2 linked regions of the Lytechinus pictus genome follow. The protein of the gene in region 1 interacts with the protein of each later gene in a pairwise test. Links are inferred from orthologs where the notes say so. Each region holds a gene or a part of one and is shown on either strand. Other genes may lie near its edges. The genes, in order: ubiquitin-conjugating enzyme E2 A and myosin-VIIa-like.

Region 1 (13,166 bases):
CAAGAAACTTTTAACAAGAAACAATAATCATTTTTAAAATGATTTCAATCCACTTCTAGAGATATTGAATGAGAACAAAAATTATGGGACCTTTCATTAATTGGCTCAAATTGAAGCTGAAATCTGTATATTTTATAGAGTGATGTATCTAGGGCCCCGTCTTACAAAGAGTTACGATTGATCTGATCAACCTCAAGTATATGGGAATCCATCAATGTCATAACTATTTTCTTTAGGAAATTTGCACAATGTCCTTTGAAAACAAAAGCATACCTAATTGTGAAGAAAACAGTGAATATACCACGTCATATCTAGAAAATATTTTGAAGAACCATGTATTTTAGATGTTGTCGTTGCTGGCTTTCCATAGTTGTGATTGATTGGATCAATCGTAACTCTTCATAAGACGGGGCCCTGATCTAAAGTAATTTGAATTTGAATTTGATAGCAACCTCACTGACAAGCTACATGTATGACCAGTGTGCTAACTGATATACCTGTATGTCCATGGTACCCACCTCTACTACATTACGTACCTTGCTGCTCTCAAAATTATATTACCAACAATGGTTCTAACAGTAATTTTCAAAATAAAATTGCATTGCTCTCTTAAACCAGGCCAGGTTTTGGGGGGCGTTAGCTGGCCGGGGGGGGGGGGGATGACATATTGACTGCCAATCGCACGAATGCCATGAAAATTGGCAAGGTACAGGTGTTAGATGTAATCTACAAGTTAGTATGGTAAAATTTTCCAAAAAACAATCATATTTTTGTTTATAAATAAGACTTAATTTCTAATTTATGCGTAAATTATACTTTCTTGCTCTAATTCACTAAAAAAAGCTTCTATAAATGCTATTTTTTGTGTTAATATTCTTTAAACCAAATAAATTACAAATAAAAAATCCTGGTTTGAAAATTAATTTCTTATGTATTTTATTGTTTTATGAACATGTATTCTTTGGTTTTTTTTGCCAAATTAATAGCAAAACCTTTTTGAAGCATATTAATTTCAACTGATGAAAGTAAAAATAATCACAAAATCACATCTTTAAGCAATTTTTGGTCAAACATTCACTTACATGTACCTAATGTTGCGTAATTTTGTAACCGCGTACCCGGGCATTGCAAATTTGGTCTCATATGTTGTGCGAGATTTGAAAGTAAAAAGTCAGCGAGCAACGCGGTTGAAAAATTTCATGTGGCAGATTTATTGTGTAAAATGTAGAGGAAGGCAGAACCCACCTTCCCCCCCCCCCCGACCTTTTAGGGTTAAAGGTCAAGTCCACCCCAGGAAAACATTGATTTAATTAAATAGAGAAAAATCTAACTTGCATAACGCTGAAAATTTCATCAAAATCGGATGTAAAATAAGAAAAATATGACTTAAAATTTCGCTTATTTTTCACAAAACAGAGATATGCACAACTCAGTGACTTGCAAATGAGACAGTCAATAATGTCCCTTTACTTACTATTTCTTTGTTTTTTATTGTTTGAATTATACAATATTTCATTTTTTACAGAATTGACAATAAGGACCAAATTGGCTGAACCATATTGTATTAAACAATGCTAATTCCAAATGTTCAGGGACAAAATAATTGTCATTTCACTTGAAAATGAATAGAAAATTAGTAGATTTCCTATTTCATATAATACACAAGAAATAGTGAGTGGATGACGTCATCAGTCTCCTCATTTGCATACTGACCAGTATATGCATAGAACTGTTTTGTGAAATTACAAGAAACTTCGAAATGTCATAACTTTCTTATTTTACATCCGATTTTGATAAAATTATCTGTGTTTTTCTTGATTGATTATTCGCTTTTTATTCAAATCAACATTTTGGGGGGTGGACTTGTCCTTTAAGCATAAACAGTTAAAGAATGTCCTTTTTCTATATTATGTACTATCACAGTGACAACCTTGCTAATAAAAAGTAAATTGAACTTACCATCTTCAAATGGGGTGTCACGGGGCCTTTGATAAAGGAAAGACAAAAATGTATGGATTTCAGAATATTGTCATTCTTTTATATTTTGAATCAAATCCCTACAAACTGAATTTTTGTTTAAAAATTCAAATAAACAAATATCATTTATACTGAACTGCATGATACATGCACTTGATGCATATTCAGGATATTTTGTGAAATGAAATCCTGTATGACAGCAATGACAGGAAAAAGGAATACCACACTATTGTCATACATGTACATGTAGAGTATAAACTGCAAACTCATTTCCATAACCATGTTTGAAGGGTAATCTACACATGTTCACCAGGCTTGTGCGTATCCATGTTGCAAAGGGAAAGAAAAGATCCCGCTATTATGAAGACTTACATGTCATTAACTAATGAGGATAGGCATTTGAAATAGAATATTATTGCTGCCACCAGCATGATGATATGAGCAGTTTTATCAATGCTTACAGTTTATTAGTCCATGAAAGAGGAATATTCTAAAATAAGAAATATATAAGGAATTACTCTTGGGTAAGCAGTAACTTAATGTACATGTACAGTAAAACCCAGGGGGGGGGGGTGGCCAGTCAAATATATTGCTGTACACATGTGTGAGTCCCAAAAAAATGCAAATAAAGGGGTGTTTTTTCAGTTTTGGACTTGGGCCGCGCGTGCACTCGTTAAGGGTATAAAAAACACCCCTTTTGAAAGACTGGTCGATCGCGGGGTCAAACATATTTAGGGTATGTTTACTTTATTTTTCCTAAGCTTTTTAAACATGTTGAGGGTATGTTTTTTTTCCCCAAGCTTTTTCCCCGGGGTCCTATTCTGGCGACAACTTGTTTTGTAAGGGCCAAAATGTGTAAATAAAGCCTGCAAAAAACTTGTATAGGGGGTTATTTTGCACACAGAGAAAAACTCGTTTAGGGGGTGTTTGGAAATAATTTGGTCACGCATGTGTACAGCAATACATTTGACTGCCCCCCCCCCCCCCCCCCCCCCCGAGAGTAAAACTTACCCAAATATAAGAGCATTCCATAACATTATGTTATTTTCTGAAGGTGCACCACTCACGCCAGCTGGTGGATCTTCTTGTAATCTGACAAGAAAAAAAGTTAAGACATTCAGAATGGTCAATATCACACTTTAACAAGGTTGATAGTACAAAACAGCCAAAATGATTTTCCAGCCCTTGTTTACATGTACATGTATGCAGTGGTCCCTTGCTCTGTGCGATTGATACAAAAAAGATTAACCTCACATGATGCTAGCCAGGAGGTGTTTGGAGAGTAAATTGCGAACACGATTTTAATCTCTTAAAGACGCCTGGCACTTGTATCAGTCGCATGTTGCAAGAAATATCTGCATGCAATTGTAAACAAGGTCCAGAAAAGTCAGAAACCATTTCTCGGCCCCCAACGGTAACATTATACACTTGTACTTGTAAAAATACAATTTATTTATCATATCACATGTTTTGACAACGTGGCTATTGAAATCCTGCTTATTTTTTTCAAAAAAAAAATAAAATCATAATCATAACAGTTTGCATTGTATGGATGACGATCAGCCAAATGATTGCACTCCACAACAAAATCCAAGATAACAATGTAATCATCAGCGAATCTTCATGCAGTTCCTAAAAAAAAACTTCCCCCTCAGTAGCATTTTTGAAGTCAGAATTTGGTCAAAACATGCAGAGTAATATCATATTTTTACAAGTTAAATTTCTCCATCTCATCTGCCAGCAGGGATATTGTTTTCCAGATCTTGTTTACAATACATGTGGACAACTGGAGATGTGTTTGGTCCAAAAAAAGAGGATCGTCCCGGTAAACAAGGATATATCCTCATATTTTTAAACCATGAGAAATCATGTCTTGATAGATGGAAATTAATTGTCCTTGTTTATGGGGAAAGTTTTATTTTCATTTTCCTATGTGGGCTTTATAGAAAGCACTTACGGAAATTGAGAGTGCTAAATAAAAAAGGTTATGAATGGGTGAGCAGACATGGGGGACCATGTTTTGTTCAATCTGAATTTGACTGCCCAAAGTTATTTCCAAGAAAAATCATATGCATGTATTTCTCTCATTTTTTAATGAGATATTTGGCACACTTACTCATGATAAAGGAACATTATCAAATGAAAGATTCTGCGCCATAAAAGAAATTTGTGTTCAATTTTAACTCAAATCGTTAGATGCGCAGACTAGTTTGGGCCTGGGGAACACCATAACTTAAGTTGAATTTTGAACATGTTTAGCCTACACATGTATGGCTATGCCATATATATGGCCCTGCTTCAGTCCCAGCTAACAAAACAGAAAATGTCCAACACATAATTTACAGTGCAATAATCTTAATGCGTCACTATCAACTGCACTCACACGTATTGCGAGGTTAGTATTAGTACACTAACCTCGCACCACGAACCGCGTTTGGCAGTGGATTTCTAACTAGTGGGTCGCGCGTGCTGGGATCTCACTTCTTGGGTCCACAACACACGACTTCTATGGCTTGAATTTTCTGTGCGCGGCGGCATGTAATGAACCCTTGGGTGTGTCAACTGTGACGTGAGCGTCGCGTAAAGTTGGGGAAGTACAATAAGAAACAAGATGGCGGCGTAAACATCGGGCAAGTCTCTTCCGTCTTTTCACAATATTTTTTCATTTTTTTGATGAATTCTTGTTTTCAAAATAACAACGAGAGCATAGAAATGTCGGAAATGAAGTTTTATCCCATTTACATGATTTAGAGCTAGATCTTTTAGAAGGAAAGTAGAAATCTCGGGGGCGAAAGTTTCAGGGTTTTTTGCGGTACACGCAGATGAATGGGGAGGAATGCCTGGCTTCGTATGAGAGTAACCTTACGTTAGTAAATGATTTTTACTCTCTAGAAGCCGCCTGGCTAGACATGAGTTGACATGACAATGACAAAAACCATTAAAACATGAGAGGTTTTGCCTTTTTGGAACAAAATAACAAAACTAAATAATTAAAGATCTTCACAGTAGTTCACTCATTTCTCATGAAGAAATGATATTATCCAATAATATAGTTCGCCTTTTACAGGTTAAAAATTTAAAAATGTCATCATCACTGTCAGTCGTGCAGGCAATGCAATGTCGTGAGAAACGATTCTCCAGCAATCTCAATTTGTCAATTCATTGCAAGTCAACTCAAGCCTGGCCCTGGCAATGGTATTTGCACTTACTTTTTAAAATCTCTCATGAGTCGCCTTCTCGCCGGTGTAGACATTTTATGATAGATATACTAAATATCCAATAAATATATATACAAAGAACAGTCCACCACTCCTCAAACTTCTCAAAAACTTGATTTCATCGTCGTTACGTCCGCATCGGTGATGACTTTTTCTTTTGCATAGGCCCTACATGTACACTGCATGGATATGCACTGCACTGCACTATAGCGATATTGCACATACAGAGACTGTGTTTTCATATACGATGACCTCATCACAGAGAAAAACCATTAATTCCCACAATGCAAAAATTTCACAGAGATACGATCTTACGTATACGTAAGCTCCCGAAGGGAGCTAGAGAGGGAACTCTTTCCGCGCGTTTTTTATTTTCCATAGGTTTTGTACATAACAAACATGGCTGCCATTTGGCCAATTTGAAGGTTGATTTTGGAAGGTCAATGTTTAATTCATGAGTAATGACGTCAAAATACGCATAATGCACTTGTATGATTGGATAAAACGCTAATGTTTTATTCATGTCCTCATGCATTAAACATTTTTTTCCATCCCACAATTCCCTACGATATCTGTGCGAAGTGTTGTTCTTTTTGACTCTGCGAAATTCAACTTTTTGAAATACAATAGCAAGACTAATTATCTGTTTATAGAATTAGTGTCCGGAATCATGATTTCTGAGTGAAATTCAGTTGAGCAGAAAATCTTTGAGGGAACATCTACATCAGAGTAATGGCATTCCATGCAAATAAAAGTAAGTGAAGTTCAAATTTTGTGCTTTGATCTCAGTTGTAATTGTAATGTGTTTGCTGAGGTTCGGCGTCGCAGTCAGGGCCTTACTAGTACCGTACGTAAACCACAATTTCCATATTACCATTTCTTTTTCCTGATCCCAAATAAATCTGAGATCTGACTGACATATTTTCTCAGAAAATAATACAGTTTTTCCTAGAACTAAGTTGGTTAATTGGAATGCTTCATGTCCGTCCTTAATAAATCTATATCAGGGGTAGATGTGGACTTGTTCAGTATCGGCAAAGCTGCATCAAATTTAAGCCAAATAATATAGTCAGAGCGGGATACGGCCATTGATACCGCCGGTGCCAGCCGGCTGCGAAATTGCCGATGTAGGTTAGGTCATTAGGTGTTGGGAATTTTAGTGTCAAACAAGCTTGAGTTGAAGTTTAAAGTTTGGCCTGGGCCTAATGATTTTTTGACACCGCTATTTCATCTTCATATGGATCAATATAATTCTCTGCATTTAAAAAGAAATTGAATTAAATTTAAATGAACTAAATCTATTCGGAATGATATCGGTAGATTTTGCCCATGGTCATGACTCATGGAATGATTTGAGACAGATTTTAACGTTAGTCTTTTTTTTTACTAAAAGTAAGGCCCTAGGGATAGGTCTAACTTAGATCTAGATTTCTAAAAATAAAATTCTAGATCTGTCTGGTTCGACTTTTTTCTCAAGATTTAAGTTAACTTTATTCTAGTCCCTGCCTGGATCACCGTTGGACTAAAATTATAATTAGTCATTAGACTCTAGCCTAACATAACGGAGTTAAATTAGTATTGTTTTTTTTTGGGGGGGGGGCCAACATTTCTTTGTCAGGTTTCAAACTGCTCAATTATCGTATACCATGAGTGCAATTTTTATGGGAAGGGATTAGAAAATTTATAGTGCCCCATTTTGAATTTTATAAGTATAAGCAGAGAGAGGGGCTGATCCAATTGATTTATCTTTATTGTCTTCCTCACTTTACCTTATTTATGGTGAAAAGCAAAGGATCATTTAAACTTGCGAGCAAGCTAACCTCTTTTTAAATCAAAATCAAACTTAAATAGGAACTTACTTAGACGTAGAGATTCACATGCTTATAGACGAGTGCAAAAAATTAAATAATTGTTTTGCACTGGTGAATGAGCGAGAGCCAAATTATCACAAAATTAATAATTATTCTACATCTGTCAAAGCTGGATTGGTGTATATATATTGAAGATTGACAAAAGGCCTCAGGCTCGCTATAGTAGGCCACGTATGCTTGAACCATTTACTGACTCTTATTGACAATGAAGATGGTCAGTGGAAACAGAGCCAGGTATGCCTATTTCGTCAGTGGAACATGATACAGAGAGAAGGAAGTTTTCGGTTTAGACCAGCTTTTTTTCTAGTTGGGAACTTTAATAGGATATGACTAGCTGGAAATTTTGAAAATATTGTTTTAAAAGAGGAATTTTGTGTATCACATCTAAAATTCTAAACTGTTAAGTATTGTGTGTATTTTGAATTGCAGATCCAATAGGATCAAGTTCTTAGCAGTCCCAGCCTAGTCAGAAGTACAAAGTCAACTACCATTTGCACATCACCAAGAGTAACAATCTGATGAGGAATAGGATATCTGAACTGAAAACTTGCAAGGTATGCTTGTTTTCGTAGAAAGGCCCCCTATTTCCTTTTTTTTGGGGGGGTGGGGAGGTGGAGGGATATAGCAACTTTTCTGAATCATGTTATCCCATATAGTAACGCTCCATTGTGAGTTAATATTTATTTGGATTCAGATTCACCAGTATTTCCATTCTCATCAATGCATACTTATTATTCATGTCTCTTATCTATATTAGTCATACATGAAATAACTTTGAAACTCAGTTACTATGTAGACAGAAATAAAAAGGACAAAATATTGAGAGTAATCTTATATATATTTGAATTATTTTGCACACTTAATCAAAAAAGATCTATGAAAAACGATCTATAAATAGTGATCTATGATTTTTATCTGGCTATATAGATTACTACATGTGCATTATCTAAATAATATTTTGCATGGAAGAGTAGGGCCTAATAAAAAGTTTTAAACGTCTTAATAAACTGGACTAGATGAGTGAGAATAATTATTATTCAGCAGCTCATTTTGTACTTTCTCTTTTTGTTTACCATGCAGGTTTCACAGGCTGTTTTAGTACCACCAGGACAGATTAAGAAGAAATATGGAGGCCAAGTTCATAACAAGTAGTTACTTAATCACAATTACACATTTTAAAAATTGAATGAATTTGAATATTGTCAATACATATTGAATTTTGCTTAAACTACACATCTTTAGAAAAAAATAGCATTGGAGTATAAATATTTAGGTCCATAGGTTTCACACAAGATTAAAATATATTCCCAAAGGGCACACCTACCCACCCATTATTAATGTTCTAATCATCTAAATGTAGTACTTATAGTAGTGAAAGAACTTTTAATGCTATTAGTAGTTTGAAAGGGATAGTTTGTATTCTGGTAATAAAATCAATTCAGAATGGGTCTTTACTGAGGTCTGGGCTATGTAACATACATGCCTACAGAAATACACAAGAAAATAAGAAATAATGGATTTTCATTGAAAAAATGTGCATTCTAAAAAAACAAGGTTACAGAACAAAGGATTAAGAAATCACTCTCACTCCTGGACCCCATTTCATTACTAGACTAACCACTATTCTAACGTTGCCATTCTGGTAATTACCGTGGAAACAAGCAACAGATCATCAGTGAGGTTCCCATGCTAGTTGCTAGTTACAATTGGGGCAAATTTACCATAATTCAAGTCTTTATGAAACAAGGACCTGTAGTGCTGGACATTAACTGTTGAATTTATTTTTTGGGGAAGTGAATACCTATGAAAGTGAATATACATACTCATTTTTTTCGATTTTTTTTTTCTCTAGATTTTACCTAAAAAATTACATCCGTTCCCTTGTAACAGGCTTGCAATTTCTGTTGCATTCATTATATGCATTTTGCTGATGTAATGTGATGCTTTGGCGAGAACAAAAGGATAGGAATATTTTTATCACATATTTCAAAAATTGATTGCTTATTAAACATTTTAATTTAAAATATACTTTCTAATCTTCATATTCGTGATTTATTTAATCCACCAATTCATATTGTGTGAAAGATAAAGTGATGATGATGTTATTGCTACCAAACTGTGTTGTGATGAAATATTTAGATGATGGTATGATGATAATGAAGAATACTTCTATATGACTGGAATATGATGGTGCTATACTGATTGATTGATTTTGTTTGTCAGGTATCTATGGGTATAATACTAGTACAACAGGTAAGAGTATAACATAAAGTATAAAAATACCATGCATGGCAAGATAGCCCATAAAAGCTATTGCAACATGGCATACTGTGACATTTTATGATCAGGCACAGCCAAAATAAATATTCTTCCTGAAGAGATAAACCAATTTGATTTAAGAGTGGGATAGAAATAAAATGATATGAGAATAATTGTTTGCTCGCATGATTATGTGGTATGTGTGTGTGTGGAGGAGAGAGAGGGGGGGGGGGTGGGTGAGATTGATAGATTTAGGGGGCGGGCAGGTACAACAATTTTATATTGTTTGGAAGTCACCTTTATAAGATAGCCTTGATGAGAGCAAATTCATGCTGGGGGATAATGGGCTGCCTTAATTTTGCTCCAAACCTAAACTCAGATTTTTCTAAAAATCTTCATAAGATTTGCAACAGATTGTTCATTTCAATTTCAAAATAAAGACAAAATGACCTCCTGATTGCTTTGCTCTCTTGCTCAGATTTCTCTGATCATTTTAAGCATTTAACCCCAAAAAAAAAAAAAAAAAAAAAAACCAAACAAACAAACATATATATGGCTATTCGTGATGTATAATTAAAAATGAAAATAATATGCAGTGATGTCTGTGATGAACACCTGATGAATAGAGCAAGCAGATCCCTAAGTTCAATCCTATTAATGAATCCTTTGAAAGCTTCCATATCTCTTTCAGGGAAATAGCTAGCAAATAAATAATTGTATTAATTGATGTAGTAAAAATCGCGACAGATAATAATTATTAAAAATATGTAAACAAGAAAAGATGAATAAACAACTGAATACCGGGGGGTGAACGGGGAATGAATGACGTAATCCACCTTAAAGACGCAGCTCTATGAATTCATTTCATATGCAATCACGTCGCGCATTATGCTAATTAGTGACACTATACTTATTTGCATATTTTTACGCTGTGCGCGCAGGCCAATTATGACCACGCCTCCGTTTTGCTGGTGTGCCATGAAGTTGTGGTGTCCGTAGGCTTGTACGCGAAAAATGGGAGCAGTGTGCACTTTTGACCTTCCAAAATTTCCCCATGTCTAACCGGATGCAGAAGCGGAGTTTCACCCCCCTGAAAAATTTGTTGAATAGCCCCATCTGCGTCCAGATTAGAAGTTATAATTTACGTTCCATTTTGTTTTCCATTTTCTAAATCTACAATTCTTTAGATTTGGTTTGGACGGGGGTGTGCGGCTAAAGGTTCAAAACTCACCCCCATATTTACGGGTCATTTTGGCCAAAAAGGTACCCATTATTAAGGATTTATCAAAATGTGACAAGCAAGCAACCAAAAAAAAGCAACCAAAAAAAAAAGGTTGTAACCCAAAATTGGGCTTTTTATCATGGCCCCCGGTCCGCATGTGGCGCCGCCCATCACCACCACCAACACCACCACCACCACTGCCACCATCATCATCACCATCATCATCATCAACATCATCATCGTCATCATCGTCATCATCATCATCGTCATCATCATCATCGACATCATCATCATCGCCATCATCATCATCACCATCATCATCATCGGCATCATCATCACCATCATCATTGTCATCATCATCGCCATCGTCATCATCACCATCGTCATCATCATCATTGTCATCATCATCATCATCGTCATCATTATCACCAGCATCGTCATCATCATCATCAACATCATTATCATCATCGTCATCATCATAGTCATCACCATCATCATCATCACCATCATCATCGTCATCATCACCATCTTTATCATCATCACATTAACTCAATGCTTCATAATGAAGTTGATATTTACAGACTAATTGCTTTGATACCAATGACAAAATTCTCGTTCAATTAGTTATAATTTGCTTCGTCCACTTTCATTTCTTAGAACACTCACTGAAGTCTCAAGCCCTCACTGAATAATATCTTTTTTTATTTTTATTTATTCACAAAAACGTTTGAACATTTGCAAACAAAGTAGTAACACGCATGCTCAAGCCCAATGCAACATGTAAAAAAACATAATGTAAACAATTACGGATTTATGATAATATTAATAACGCAATTCTTGTATAACGCATATCACATTATGTCATAACGTCCCTATGCGCTTCCAAAAGGACTTGGATATTATAACCCTTGCTTTAGCCCCGCAGCCTTTTACAGCGCAGTGGCATTTCAAGGAATAAATTCCTGCCAGGTACCCATTCATCTCACCTGGGTTGAGTGCGGCACAATGTGGATGAATTTCTTGCTGAAGGAAAATACGCTATGGCTGGGATTCGAACCCACGACCCTCTGTTCAAAGTCAGAAGACTAATCCACTGGGCCCCAACTACTACTACTATACTATTACTACTACTACTACTACTACTACTACTACTACCAGTGGCGTACCATGGTTTACGGCATGGGGGGCACCAGCAAAAATTTTGAGTCACTCAGTGAGCGCGCGAAGCGCGCTCAGTTGCAACGTATACTGACCTAATATACTTTTTAAGGACAATTAAACGGATATGTATCTCACTGATCAAATAATGCGAGCGCGAAGCGCGAGCTTAAAATTTTTGATATTCAGACCTAAAAAGGGACATTATAAGCCAATTTTGTTATGATACGTACCTGTCTTGCTAAACAAATAACGCTAGCGCGAAGCGCGAGTTGAAATTTTTGTATATTTTGACCCCTAACAGGCATATTTTAAGGACCGTATTTTTAAGGAATCCATTAAGAGTACATATCTCACCATAGTAATCTAATCGAGTGCCAAGCGCTTGCTGATTTTGTTAGAATTACGTCTAAACACATGAATTACTTTTTGTAGTCATTGTAATCATGATTATCATACGCATCTCACAAATCAAATATTGCGAGTGCGAAGCGCAAGCTGAAAATTTTGGAAATTCAGACCTGAAGAGGGAATTTTTGTAGGAATTCACTAAGATCATACGTATTTCACAAACCAAATTATGCGAGCGCGAGCTGAAAATTTTCGATATTCAGATCAGAAAAAGGAACATTTTAAGGACTGATTTTAGGAATTCATGAAGATCAGATATATCTCACCAATCCACTATTGCGAACGTAAGCACGGATAAGAAATGTTTTATATGATGACCTTAGAATGTGGCAATCGCTTTAAGTTGTCATGAAAAAGAAGTATATGTCACTACATAAAACAATAATAACTCGAAGTGCGAGGAAATATATTTGGTGTATATTGACTTGAAAACGGAAGGTTTTAGCACAACAGGATTATATATCTCGCTAAACAGACAATACGAGCACCAGGAACAATGAAGACATAGGCCCTGAGCAAATTATGTTTCATAAAGATATGAAAAAAAAAATTCTTATGTAATATAACAATACAAAGTTATAATAAAATATAAAATTATAATGAACAATAATTTTTTCTTTCCCACTACGTTTCTCTTCCTTTCTCCCACTTTTTCTCCTTTTCCCCGTATTTTTTTGGTTAGCCGATTGGGGGGGGCACGTGCCCCCATGCCCCCGTAGTTACGCCACTGACTCCTACTACTACTCCTACTACTCTTACTACTCCTACTAGTACTGCTACTACTGCTACTACTACTACTACTACTACTAATACTACTACTGCTACTACTGCTACTACTGCTACTACTACTACTACTACTACTACTACTCCTACTACTCTTACTACTCCTACTACTACCACTGCTACTACTACTCCTACTACTCTTATACTACTCCTACTACTACTACTACTACTACTACTACTACTACTACTACTACTACTACTACTACTACTACTACTACTACTACCGCTACTTCTACTACTACTACTACTACTACTCCTACTACTACT
Region 2 (13,193 bases), on another chromosome or scaffold:
CACGATCCAGTCCTCAATTGAAAACCATCTAGCACGTAAATATTCCATTTGTGGGGTGTGTGTTGCGTGGGATTTTAATTATATGGAGCAGACGGTACACACATGCATATGTCATGAATCATATTAACAAGTTATTGTTAAGTTGACATTTTTTGAAGTTGTTTGAAGATCTTGCTATATTCAAAGCCAAATGGATAATTAAAGTACAAAGTTCATAAAAATGCTGATACATTTCTCATTAAGCTAAACCTGAATTTCTTTTAAAATACACTGTAGAAGACGTTATAGGAGTACAAGTGATCTTATATATTTATGTCAAAATATGAGTTGAATATTTGTCCTAAGTTTCTCTTAACACATTTGATTTTTCAAGTAACTAAAAAAAAACATGAAACCAAACGAGGACTTTCACTATAAACAAGAAGAAACTCAAATAAAATCATTTCACTTACTTAAACATTCAGATACAAACAAAATCAAGAAAATTCCCCCGACAAGAAACATCTTGTTAAGTTTTCATACCTTTACGAGGATGACCATGGTGGCTGTGTGTCGGGTTCAAATCTGACAAGAAATTAATCCTAATTATTTATTCATTCAGGGGGCTACATCCGACCATCAGATCTGAAAAACAAAAGATGAAAAAAAGGATTCCATTATTTGAAAAGTTAATAGTATGCACCTACAAATGGAATGAAAAAAGGGTTATCTTAATTTCAAAGTTAAAAGTAAACATTTGTTTTAGTGTGGTAAAGACAGAACTTCTTTTTCTAAAGAGATATTAAATCCATTGAATGTTACATTGTATGTGATTTATTCAAATACATGTATAAGAGAAACTTTCATACAATCAGGATATAATCAAATGGACAATCTTATTACCAAATAGCACACATTCTTACAAAATATCACATTATATGTAGAATTTACATTATTCTTAAAAGTATTGATTTCAAGCCAGTGATCACTGATCAGTGAGGAATTCCACTCCAAATGGAGTTATCACTGATTCACTTGCTGAAGAAAGAGTGACATCCAATCCTGCAAAGGATCTAAAAATTCTGTTATGACAAGTAATGAGATTAAATCAAACATCTAAAGTTGTAAAATCTAAAAAAATTAAAATCATATATTGAGAAAAGGCATTCCCCACATGGCTATATGCTCTATTTAACAAGAATTTGAGGTATTAAAATTGCACACATTTTTTATGATAGAATTTCTTTCAAAGATTAGACCGACTCTTGCCTAGAGCCATACATTTCGACAAAAGGTGAATGAAAGAATTGCATGAATTGTTCAATCAATAGTCATTCTAAAACTATTGTATCTACACAAGAACCATTCACAAAAAATGAAAGATTTTTTTTAATACTATTTTCCCCTTTTCAGGATCCTTAACAGTATTCATAAAGTTCTCTGTTTTAAAGGGGTTAACTCTATAGGCTTTCTTTTTAATTGTAAAGGACAAGTCCACTCCAACAAAAAGTTGATTTGAATAAAAAGAGAAAAATCCAATAAGCATAACACTGAAAATTTCATCAAAATCTGATGTAAAATAAGAAAGTTATGACATTTAAGTTTTGCTTAATTTCACAGAACAGTTATATGCACATCCTGGTGGGTATGCAAATGAGGAGACTGATGACATCATCCACTCATAGCTATTTCTTTTATTATATGAAATAGGGAATATTCTATTTTTCTCCTCATTGTCAAGTGAAACAATGATTAATTCCTCCCTGAACAAGTGGAATTACCATTGTTTTAACATTTTATGGTTCAGTCAAGTTGGTTATCATTGTCAAATCTGTAAAAATTTAAATATTGTATAATTCAAACAATGAAAAACAAAAGAAATAGTGAGTGAGGGACATCATAGCTGTCTCAATTGCATGTCGCTGAGTCGTGCATATCACTGTTTTGTAAAAAAAAAATAAGTGAAACTTTAAAATGTCCTAACTTTCTTATTTTATATCCGATTTCAATGAAATTTTCACTGTTTTGCTAGTTTGATTTTTCTCTATAATTTATTCCAATCAATATTTTTCTGGGGTGGACTTGACCTTTAAGTGCAATATGCATGCAACAATATTTCAAGAGGAATCCCTGAAAATGTCATTCCACAAGCACCTTTACATGCTTTGAAATAATGGCAAAAAAAGTGATTATTTTCCCTTCATGGCTTACAGTGTTAGGCATCCAAATGGATGCTTACGATTGTAGTCATCGTTATCACAGCAATTAACCTTTATGATGTGATTAGAGGAGCTTTTTAAAACATCTCAGGTGATTCCTGTCAGTGTAAAGGTTTGCAGAGTCGAAGAAGAAATAAATAGCTCCTGAGTAAAGTTGAGTGATCCCTTTGGTTTGAATGAAGGTACATGTAAGAAGTGCACAAGTTTGTGTCATTTACAAAGACTAGATTTAAAGGGGAAGTTCACCCTGACGAAAGGTTTGTTGCAAGAATACCAGAAAAAAATAAAAATAACTATTGGTAAAGGTTTGAGGAAAATTCATCAAAGTTATCAGAATTTTAAATTCTTGATTTGTGATGCCAGGTTGAACTTCCCCTTTAAACTGAACATTTTCTCATAAGTACATTATAATATGAAAAATATTCACTGATTTCCAATTATTCAAAAAGAATTATTTTTAGGATGACCAGGATGAATAATTGAATAATTCTTGGGGGATGGGGGTTAAAATAGAAGGAAGTACATTGTGAGTCATATTACAAAATCTTTTCAATAATTTACTCAGCCGATTCATAACTTTTCCACATACTGTACATATGTAATAACACCCATAAAAAGACAAAAACAGTAATAAATTTAAGGTCCTTAGTACTTACAGTGTGTGTACTGTACAACTAATGAAACTGTGTGTGTTATTTCTGTCACAAATTCTGACAAATGTTTCAAGAAAGAAATTCTAGAATTGTACAAAGAGAATGAGTATATCTAAAGTAATTAATATTCATTCAATCCATTATAACGGCTATCCATTCAATTCATTGCATTTTTTATCCACCATATTCATGTACTTTGAAAGCTCAAAGGTCTACGATTTTGTTTGATATATAAACTAGATGGGCTGTCCTCTTTTCTTGAGTAAACAATTAGCTTTTATTCATGGAAATAGCCATGTCATGTTGAGGGGATAACTTCCCAGTTCTTTGCGAAAAAAACTGTTATATTTTGTACTTTGTTCTCTACAAAGAAATAGAAGTTTGTTTTTAGATGAAAATGATTTTGTTTATTATGCAATACTGAAAACATATGTGGAGCTTGAATGAAAGTTATATCACTGTAATCTAATGACTAAAATATTAATTTCTTAAGGTACTTTCACCTTAGTTATATTCATGTATAATAGTTGAAATATCATTGTATTGCAATACAAAAGTTATTGTAAATATAGCAAAAAGAAATTAGAAGAACAAAGTCATATGAATTTGAATTGTTTTTCCTTTTGCTTTCATAATGAAGAAAAATATTTCAATTATCATTCCCAGACAATTATGAATAATTTGAGTGTCCAATAAGTTCATAAATTGAATGTGTACTGTTAGGGATTTTTGCCCCATTTGGCTCTCCATACTTAAACCACAACTTTAAACCAGGGTTCAGTTTTAATAAACCCGAGTTCAGAATACGGGCCATATTGTTTTCAGTCCCCAGAAGAAACTACCAATTCCTGTGGGATTTTATTATACTCAAATAAAATGGCCATGCATAGATGTGGAAAAAAGAAATATTGGACATAATAAAGTAGGCCTACACATATTCAGAGCTGCCAAGTTGTATTTTGCATTTTCATTATTCTTATCCCCCAAAATCAGTATTTTGACAAAAAAATTTGACAAAATTTTGACAAAAAAATTTACCGTGTGAGATAAATATTTTGTATTTTTCCCCCCAAAAGTGTATTTCATAATAAAATGCTTGGCGCACTCGCCCATCACGGCGCTCAAGCTGCATGCAAGCTAAAATGTGCACTGCTCTTGCAGATGAAAAAAAAAAACATTGAAACTTGTGTATATCTCACCCTGGTTTTTACAAAATGATTGAAAAAAAAAAAAGAAGTTACCTGAAATTACATTGATCTAATAACCATATTTGTGTACGTTTTATGAAATAGAGACATATAGAGATGATTTTTCTCAATAAATTTTTATTTTGTAAAAAAAATAAATAACGTACTACTTGGCAGCTCTGCATATTCATTCTTTTAAAAATAAATGTATTGTACATTTTGTACTTGTTGGATTGCAAGGTAGATCTGTAATAAAAACAAATTTGACACCTTGTTCACATGGGACTAATAAAGCAATAATAACACAATAATAATGACTTAATCAGATATACATGTACGAGACAAACACGTACGGTAAGATAATTAGATTTTTAATTATCTGTGTTGCTACTGTACACTGGTACAAACGGAAATGTACAAATGTAATAGTGATATTGAAATATCTAGATATGAAATTAACTGGTCTTGACAGGAACATCAAATAATTATCAAATAATTGCCTGCAAAAGAGAATCATATATCCTAAATCGCTATGGGGGCAGTCCAAACGTTAGCAGCAATAAGTTCATTTTCCCTAAAACCAAGTGTCGGTCAATTATTATACCGTACAGTTGCAAATACTAAACAATTGGTTTCCAATATTCTTATTTTGTAGTGCTCATTAAACTAACAATTTTGTATCTGCTAGGCTGTCAGTCCTCTGGAAAATGTTGGCATATCAATTATAATAGGCCTATACAATAAACTTTGACATGTACAGTGACTAAAATGCAACATTTGGTTCTTTGGTTCATTATGAAAGTGAACCAAGAAGAGAGGAAACGATAAAAAGGGAGCTTTTGAGGGGAAAATATGAATGAACATGGCAAACATTTTGGGGTAGTGTGCAGAAGTTTTTGAAATTACAGCTATTTGCCTTGTTGATTGTATTCTTTTTAAATCATGATGAACAAAAAAAGGCTATATCAATATCAAAATTCTTCACACACTCATGATAAAACCTTGGAAAGTATTCTTTTTATTATGCCAGAAGGGAAAAAAAGAGTTTCAACAGTCCAGTAGGATATCATAGAAAAATTTGCAGGTCAATTTTCAAATGTGACATAAATTTTTATCAAATACTGGGCATCAGCAGAAAAGCAAGACAAGGCAAGATTGATCAATTCCTTGAATTTCTCAGCATGAAATGAGATACAATTACCCTTCTGAACTTAGAACACATAACTAACACATTATACAGAATATGCCAATTAATGGTGAATTTGTTTGCATATGAACGATGCGATGAAGATTGTACTGATCAAAGAGTTCAGTGAAGTTTGTTTAGTTTACTTTAGATAGTGGTAAAACCACACATACCACCCTCTAAATAAATAAATTTATAACTTTATATATGAATATATTATGCTATACCAAATGGGAAATGTATCAAAAGTATATTACATCCATAAATACATCATGAATGTTCTGATTCACTTATACGTTGAAAGTACATTATATCCCTGGTAGGAACGCATTTAAAACTTAATTCTTATCACTGATAAAAAACTTGAAAAGTGAAGATCAAAGTATTTTGTTTAAATACTAAGTTTAAAAATCAAATACCTGTGCAATTGAATATAAATACTTTGTATTGTAATGTCTACTGTGGTAAAATACTAAAATGTGATAGAATTTGAGTGGAATGTCTTTTTTTCATGAATAATATTACCAGGTGATAACACAGTAAACTTTGATGGGAAATTACAAAAATGCATGTTGTTTCATTACATGTACATAATTATTTACAATATCTGTAGTAGTAGTAGTACTTAATTTAACAGAATAGATTAATCAATTATATGCTATAATGAAAGAAAACGGAGAAGGTACCTGTTTCCAGATGGCCAATATTTTCATTATTTCTGCTTAAAACTCTGATCTCTACTTTTACTATACATACAACCTCTGTAGCTATATGTATCACCAAGCTATCTTTTCCAATTTATCTTTTCCAATTTACTCAAAATAAGTATTAACAACAATACACTAAAAGGTAAACTAAACATTGACAATCATCAACCCACTTAGAGTTATTACTTGCCATTAAAGGTGGTCAATTAAGCCCAGTAGCCCAGTCACTCACGTAATTAAATCCGATGTTATCTCTCTCCGATGACCAAATTAACAAACACTCCCCCTTCCGCTTAAAGTTCAATACCAGCCGGTTAGTTGTTGTCGGTGTCGGTCTTTTGCCAATGTGGCAGTGCTGAACTGACTGAACAAATCTCTCTCTTTCTTAATACAGAGATAGACACACACACACCACTAAGAAAACATGCAGCTGGACCACTATGGCTAAGTTCTCAAAGAATACACAATAGTTCTATTCTATGCAAGAATGGATCCTCCTATATTGCAGCGCACGATACTCCCCGGCTTCCCCCCTTTGGTTTAGTGGTAGAAGGTTCATGTATTTCATGCATTGCCATTGGAGCGAGCACACTTGGTATGTACTCTGAGGGGTGCTGCCCAAGCTTTGGGCTGGGCACACAACCAAGAACAGGGGTGTATGCGTAATAAGAGCGAGGGTGAGGGGAACAATAGGCGGCATACCTATATGACAATAGGAGAGCTCAACACAAATATATGTGACTCACTACACAAGGGACACAGTTCAGTGGGCATAGGGCGAGAATAGTCTCCGGAATCAGACCGTCATGTTATTATATAATTATCATCCAAATGGTTGTAAAGTTTATATCGTTAAACTCATCTCCATCCACTAATGTTAAGTTGTTAACAATAAAGTTGTTATGAATTCTTTTTTTTTTGGAACTTTAGATAAAAGTATCGGTTAGCATAATGTGCCCTGAGTGTCGATCTGGGAGACAAACAACAATGGACTTGATTTCTCTTTTTATTCTATCATTTTTGCTTGTAATCTTTATGGGAGAGGTGACGATGACACAAGTTCTTGCCAACAAGAACCTTTTTTGTTCTTTTTTTTTTTTAATCCCACACAAAATGGAAGTACCCTATTAAATAAATCCAGGGCCCACCCTTGCTTGAAAACATATTAAAACATTAGGGCATAAATATATAAAAGCCAAGTTCAAAACAATTTTTTTTCAGACTTGGAGTGTGAGATAATAGATATATGTATAGTAAGTCTACATCTCCCTAAGATAAGACACATTCAACTTGTTAACACTCGATACGAAATGTTATAACAAGTACATGTAGTATGCCACTGAAATAATTATAGCTTCAAAACTGAGAATTGGAAGTAAGTTATATAAAACAAATGCTGACTTAAGTTAAAGTTGATAAGATTCTTTTTATTGTTCAACTTTAAAACTTAACAAATATTACTGGGTCATGGGCAATAAAGGTGACTTCCAGAGTCATTCTAAAGTTTAATATATGAAAATAATGCATACACCTGTAGGGAGGGAGGAAATGATATTCTTGTGATTTTTCTGGCTTGAAAATTATTTTTCCCATGATTAGGATATTTAAAGCGAAAACTTACAAATGATTATAGTTTGCAAATTTGATAGACGCTTATGAAGGAAGGAAATAAATGTAACTTAATGAAATCACTAAGGATAAAACATTTTGCATTGATCCTGAAATTCTGAAGTATATTTTACGGACCAAAACAAGAATTTCAATGACGAAGCAGTAGTCAACAATAAAACAGAGTCTGAAGTGCAAGACTAGAAGTAAACTGTGAAAGAGGCGAGGCAGTTTTGCACCGGGTGAACTTTGCACAGTTTTTATTTATCTCAGATAGGATGATCATCATTCTAAACATCTTCATAATATCTGCCTCGTATCATCGAATGCAAAACATGATTAGACTAAGTTGATGTGCTGCCAGACTGAAGCATCATGGGCCTGTTTCATATTTGCGATAACAGTCAAAAGCTACTGAAATACTGAAATTTGATTGGCTGACTGATGACAGTAAATTTGTAATAGAAACTACAGGTGAATTTGTTGTTATAACATGTCTATTTGAAACAGGGCCCAGATGTAAAATTGCTGAAATAGTTGAAACTGTATAAATTCAAGCTTACTATTATGCTGAGAAACATTAGTCCAGGATAGGCCCCGTAGAAACTTGACCAAACCTTGTTTTCTTATATATACAATATTTTTTAATGGTTTCTTGTCAATTCGAGGGTGCTGATTACGAATCTGGATGATGCCACTCGTGTAACCTTGAGCATTTTCCGCAAATTGGCGAAATCAAATATGGCCGCCAAAATATGCAAATTACCCATAAAAATCCTAAAATTGTCCGCACATTGGCTATGAAATGCATGAAATCGTGTAGCAGGAGTGAAATACTCTCTGAAAAAAATAATTTTTGACAAAATATTTATTTTCTGATATTCAAAGTGGCCGCCATAGGCCCTTGTATACTCTATTATGTACAATATGAATAGGGAAAACTAATTTTCACAAAAATGAGCACTAAACCGCAAAAAAATTGTGATGTATGAACGAAGTAATATATGCAAATCATCATTACTAACAAGATATATCATTTATTATGTCATATATGGGGATATTGCTGTATTTTGATATCTAAAAGCCCCCACTGGCCCAAGAGTATTATGTACAATGGCAATGACCGGGGTCCAAAAAAATGACAAGAGTGAGCACTAAAATGCATATTATTAAGATAAACGAGTGGAATACTGACTAAAAGCATAATTGCCATCATTGCCATTAATATACCATTTATGTGATAAATGCTGTATTTTGACATTCAAAATGGCCGCCATAGGCCCTATATTTATCATGTACAATGCGAAAGGAGAAACTAATTTTCACAAGAGTGAGAATCATAAAATGCATATAACTGTGATATACGAGTAAAAATATTGTCTTAAATATGATTTCTAAGTGAATAGATCACATATTGGTCGTGGAGGTAATAAATGCAGTACTTTGAAATCCAAAATGATTGCCATAGGTCCTAAAAGTATTGTGTACATTGTAACATGGGACATATAATTTTGACAGAATTTGGCTTTGCTTGACTCTAAATATTGCATATAATTGTGAATTGTGAAAGGGTGAAATATTGTCTAAAACCATGGTTTCTACCGAGATATATCATATCATGTGTAATTAAGTTGATAAATGCTGCATTTTAAAATTGAAAATGGCCACCATAGGCCCTTAACGTATAATATACAATATGAGTGGAGACAAATAATGTTCACAAAAAGGGCATATGGCAGCCATTTTGAATGTTGAAATACAGTATTTATCACCTAAATTACATAGGATATGATATATTTTGTTATAAATCATGTTTTCAGACAATATTTCCCTCATACATCACCATTTGGCCAAGCAAAGCCAAATTCCGTTGAAATAATTTGTTCCCATTCACATTGTGCATAGTATCATAAGGGCCTGTAGCGGCCATTTTGACTTTTTAATAACAGTATTTATCACCTAACTGGCAGAATAAATGATATATCTTAATAGAAATTATGCTTTCAGACAATATTTTACTCATAGATCACTATTACGTGCATTTATGGTGCTCACTCTTGTGAATATTGGTTTCCCACTTTGCATTGTACATGATACTGTTAATGCCTATGGCGGCCATTTTGAAAATAAAAATACAGTATTTAACACAAACTTGAAACCTGAATGATATATTTCGTTAGAAAATATGTTTTTAGACAGTATCCCATTAATTTATCACATATATATGCATTTTAGTGCTCTCTCTTGTGATTTCTTTGCTCCTCTTTCTCATTGTGCATAATACTTTTAGGGCCTTTGGCAGCCATTTTGAATATCAAAATAAATCATTCATCACATATATGGCATATTAATAATATATTTCGTTAACAATTATGTTTTTAGTCAGTATTCCACTCGTTTAATCTTAATAATATGCATTCTAGTGATCACTCTTGTGAATTTTTTGGCCCCCATTGCCATTGTACGCAATACTGTTTGGGCCAGTGGCAGCTATTTTAGATATCAAAATACAGAAATGTTCCCATATATGACATAATAAACGATATATCTCGTTAGTAATGATGATTTGCATATATTACTTCGTTCATACATTGCGATTTTTGCACTTTAGTGCTCATTTTTGTGAAAATTAGTTTTCCCTATTCATATTGTACATAATAGAATATACAAGGGCCTTTGGCGGCCATTTTGAATATCAGGAAAATAAATATTTTGTCAAAAATTATTTTTTTCAGAGAGTATTTCACTCCTGCTACACGATTTCATGCATTTCATAGCCAATGTGCGGACAATTTTAGGATTTTTATGGGTAATTTGCATATTTTGGCGGCCATATTTGATTTTGCCAATTTGCGGAAAATGCTCAAGGTTACACGAGTGGCATCATCCAGATTCGTAATCAGCACACTCGAATTGACAAGTAACCATAAAAAACTATTGTATATATAAACAAGTGGAACGCCTCTGGCAGTCTCGCCTGCATTACGCAATTTAATATAGCAGCAGTGTTAACTTTGATAACTACTATAAAATAATCATTCACAAAAACACCATTCATATAATGACATAATACCACGTTCATTGACCATAAATGACATTTGAACGGAGACTTAAGACTGTCAACTACACCCATATCCACATTTCATTCACTCTATCCATAAACTTTCAAAGTTATGATGGCACTTCAACAATTACCCCAACATGGCCTAAGTTTATTGACCTTAACTGACCTTTGACTTGGTTTTGTGACCTGAAACTCACAGGGGATGTTCAGTGATGCTTGATTACTCTTATATCCCAAGTTTTATGAACTACCGGTAGATCCATAAACTTCAGAGTTAGGATGGTAATTCAACAAATACCCCCAACACAGCCAAAGTTCATTGACCTTTAATGACCTTTGACCATGGTCATGTGACCTGAAACTCGTACAGGATGTTCAGTGATACTTGATTACTCTTATGTCCAAGTTTTATGAACTAGATCCATAAACTTTCAGAGTTAGGATGGTATTTTAACATATACCCCCAACACGGCCAAAGTTCATTGACCTTAAATGACCATTGACCATGGTCATGTGACCTGAAACTCGCACAGGATATTCAGTGGTACTTGATTAACCTAATGTCCAAGTTTCATGAACTAAATCCATAAATTTTCAAAGTTATGATGGTAATTCAACAAATACCCCCAACTTGGCCAAAGTTCATTGACCCTAAATGACCTTTGACCTTGGTCACGTGACCTGAAACTCGAGCAGGATGTTTTCTTATACTTGATTAACCTTATGCTCAAGTTTCATGAACTAGGTCCATATACTTTCTAAGTTATGTCATTTCAAAAAGTTAACCTTCGGTTAAGATTTTGAAAATAATTTTCCCAACATGGTCTAAGTTCATTGACCCTAAATGACCTTTGACCTTGGTCATGTGACCTGAAACTCGGGCAGGATGTTCAGTAATACTTGATTAACCTTATGTCCAATTTTCATGAACTAGGTCCATATACTTTCTAAGTTATGATGTCATTTCAAAAACTTAACCTTAGGTTAAGATTTGATGTTGACGCCGCCGCCGCCGCCGCCGCCGTCGCTGTCGGAAAAGCGGCGCCTATAGTCTCGCTCTGCTATGCAGGCGAGACAAAAAACAAGGTTATGCCTCTTCTATCCTGGACTACATGTGCATGTACATGTAGCAAAAAGCTAATAGAATGTACACTAAAAAGATCTCTTGCAATTAAAAAAATATAATAGTTGATCAGTTAATGTTACAATCAGTATATGAAAAAGGCAAGTGTCACTGCCATACATGTACATGTAGAACTTTGTTAACCTCTACCGTGAAAGTGGTTTTAACTAATGTTAAGAGCCTCCTGCTACACTAAGAAAAGAGTATGAATATATTTGCAATCAATTTGATTTTATTTCAATTTTAATCAGGTTACACTCATTGTTGTATGAAGTAATCAATCAGAAATCAAGAGCAAATTTGCAATTAACGCCAATTCTTATGATCGATTTTGGGACCAAAACAGACTTGCAATTAATTGCAAACAACACCCCCAATATAGCAACACCCCAATAGTAATTTTGTGGAGTTTTGAGAGGTATATTGTAAATAAAATGCAACAAACAAGACCTGCCACATAAAGAATGACAAGACACCGTATGGTAGAGTCAGTAAACTGTAATTCATCATCATAAAGTGCTCCCACATATTCACACAAACTCAACATTTACAGGTATGCATTTTCAAAATATGAATTTCCTGACTTGATTGAAATAATAATAATAATGACAATAATAATAATAATATTGATAATAATAATAATGATAATAATAACAATAATAATAATAGCAATAATAAAAATAAAATAATAATAATCATCATCATCATCATCATAATAATAATAATAATCAAAATAGTAGAAATAATAACATAATGATAATAATAGCAATAATAAAAGGCATATATTTATAGAGCGCAATTTAGAACACTTTCAGTTAAAATAATTCATACATATTTCTTTGTTTCTCAGTTTCAGTTGTAAGGTAATTTTATGTTTTGCCCTCTTGCAAAACACACATCCAGAGGCCTATAATCATGTACTGTAGACCAACCATAACACCTCGTGACCCGGAAAAAAGTAAAGTTTTGCAGGTGAAATGTGAAACCCCCCTGGCAGTTTCTCTTGTATTACGCTTACACAGTGCGTATAAAAAAAAACCGGACAGATTTGAAAAATCTATAAAATTTTTGTTTCAAATTATGATGTCCATATTTTGGTGTTAAAAGGTGCTCTGAAGTCTTATCTTTCAAATGTTATTAAAAAGAATTAGTTTCGTTCATGCTTGAGCGAACACGGAATGTTTTTTGTCTGGGGTTAAAAAGGAGGCTTGCGCCAAAATGGCATAAAATGATAAATATGATGATCGGACTTCTTGCTAATCAGCAGACTTCCTCTTAACCATTTCATTATCTTTGCCATAATTTTCAAATTATGTGGTCAAAATTCATTTTCAAATCTATTTATATGCTTGAATTGTTCTGTTGTTTCTTTTTAATATGTTCTCTTTTAGCTTTGAATATTCCTTCTTCAAGCAAAAACAATTTTTTTCGACCAAAGCATGGGAGAGCGTGTATCTTTTTTTTCAA

The links.
Region 2: the proteins of ubiquitin-conjugating enzyme E2 A (region 1) and myosin-VIIa-like interact in a two-hybrid assay, tested with the Caenorhabditis elegans proteins (2 studies listed by BioGRID). The link is inferred for Lytechinus pictus from reciprocal best matches to the Caenorhabditis elegans genes ubc-1 and hum-6.

What each region holds. Positions count from the first base shown.
Region 1 is NW_026974140.1:10,329,802-10,342,967, forward strand, and holds the start of ubiquitin-conjugating enzyme E2 A, read right to left. Parts: upstream 5,608-13,166; 5' UTR 5,231-5,607; coding exon 5,187-5,230; intron 3,070-5,186; coding exon 2,989-3,069; intron 1,986-2,988; coding exon 1,960-1,985; intron 1-1,959. UniProt on the Caenorhabditis elegans protein: Catalyzes the covalent attachment of ubiquitin to other proteins.
Region 2 is NC_087260.1:11,314,746-11,327,938, forward strand, and holds the start of myosin-VIIa-like, read right to left. Parts: upstream 6,611-13,193; 5' UTR 6,164-6,610; exon of another isoform or gene 6,122-6,163; intron 625-6,121; 5' UTR 541-624; coding exon 523-540; intron 1-522. UniProt on the Caenorhabditis elegans protein: Myosins are actin-based motor molecules with ATPase activity. Unconventional myosins serve in intracellular movements. Their highly divergent tails are presumed to bind to membranous compartments, which would be moved relative to actin filaments.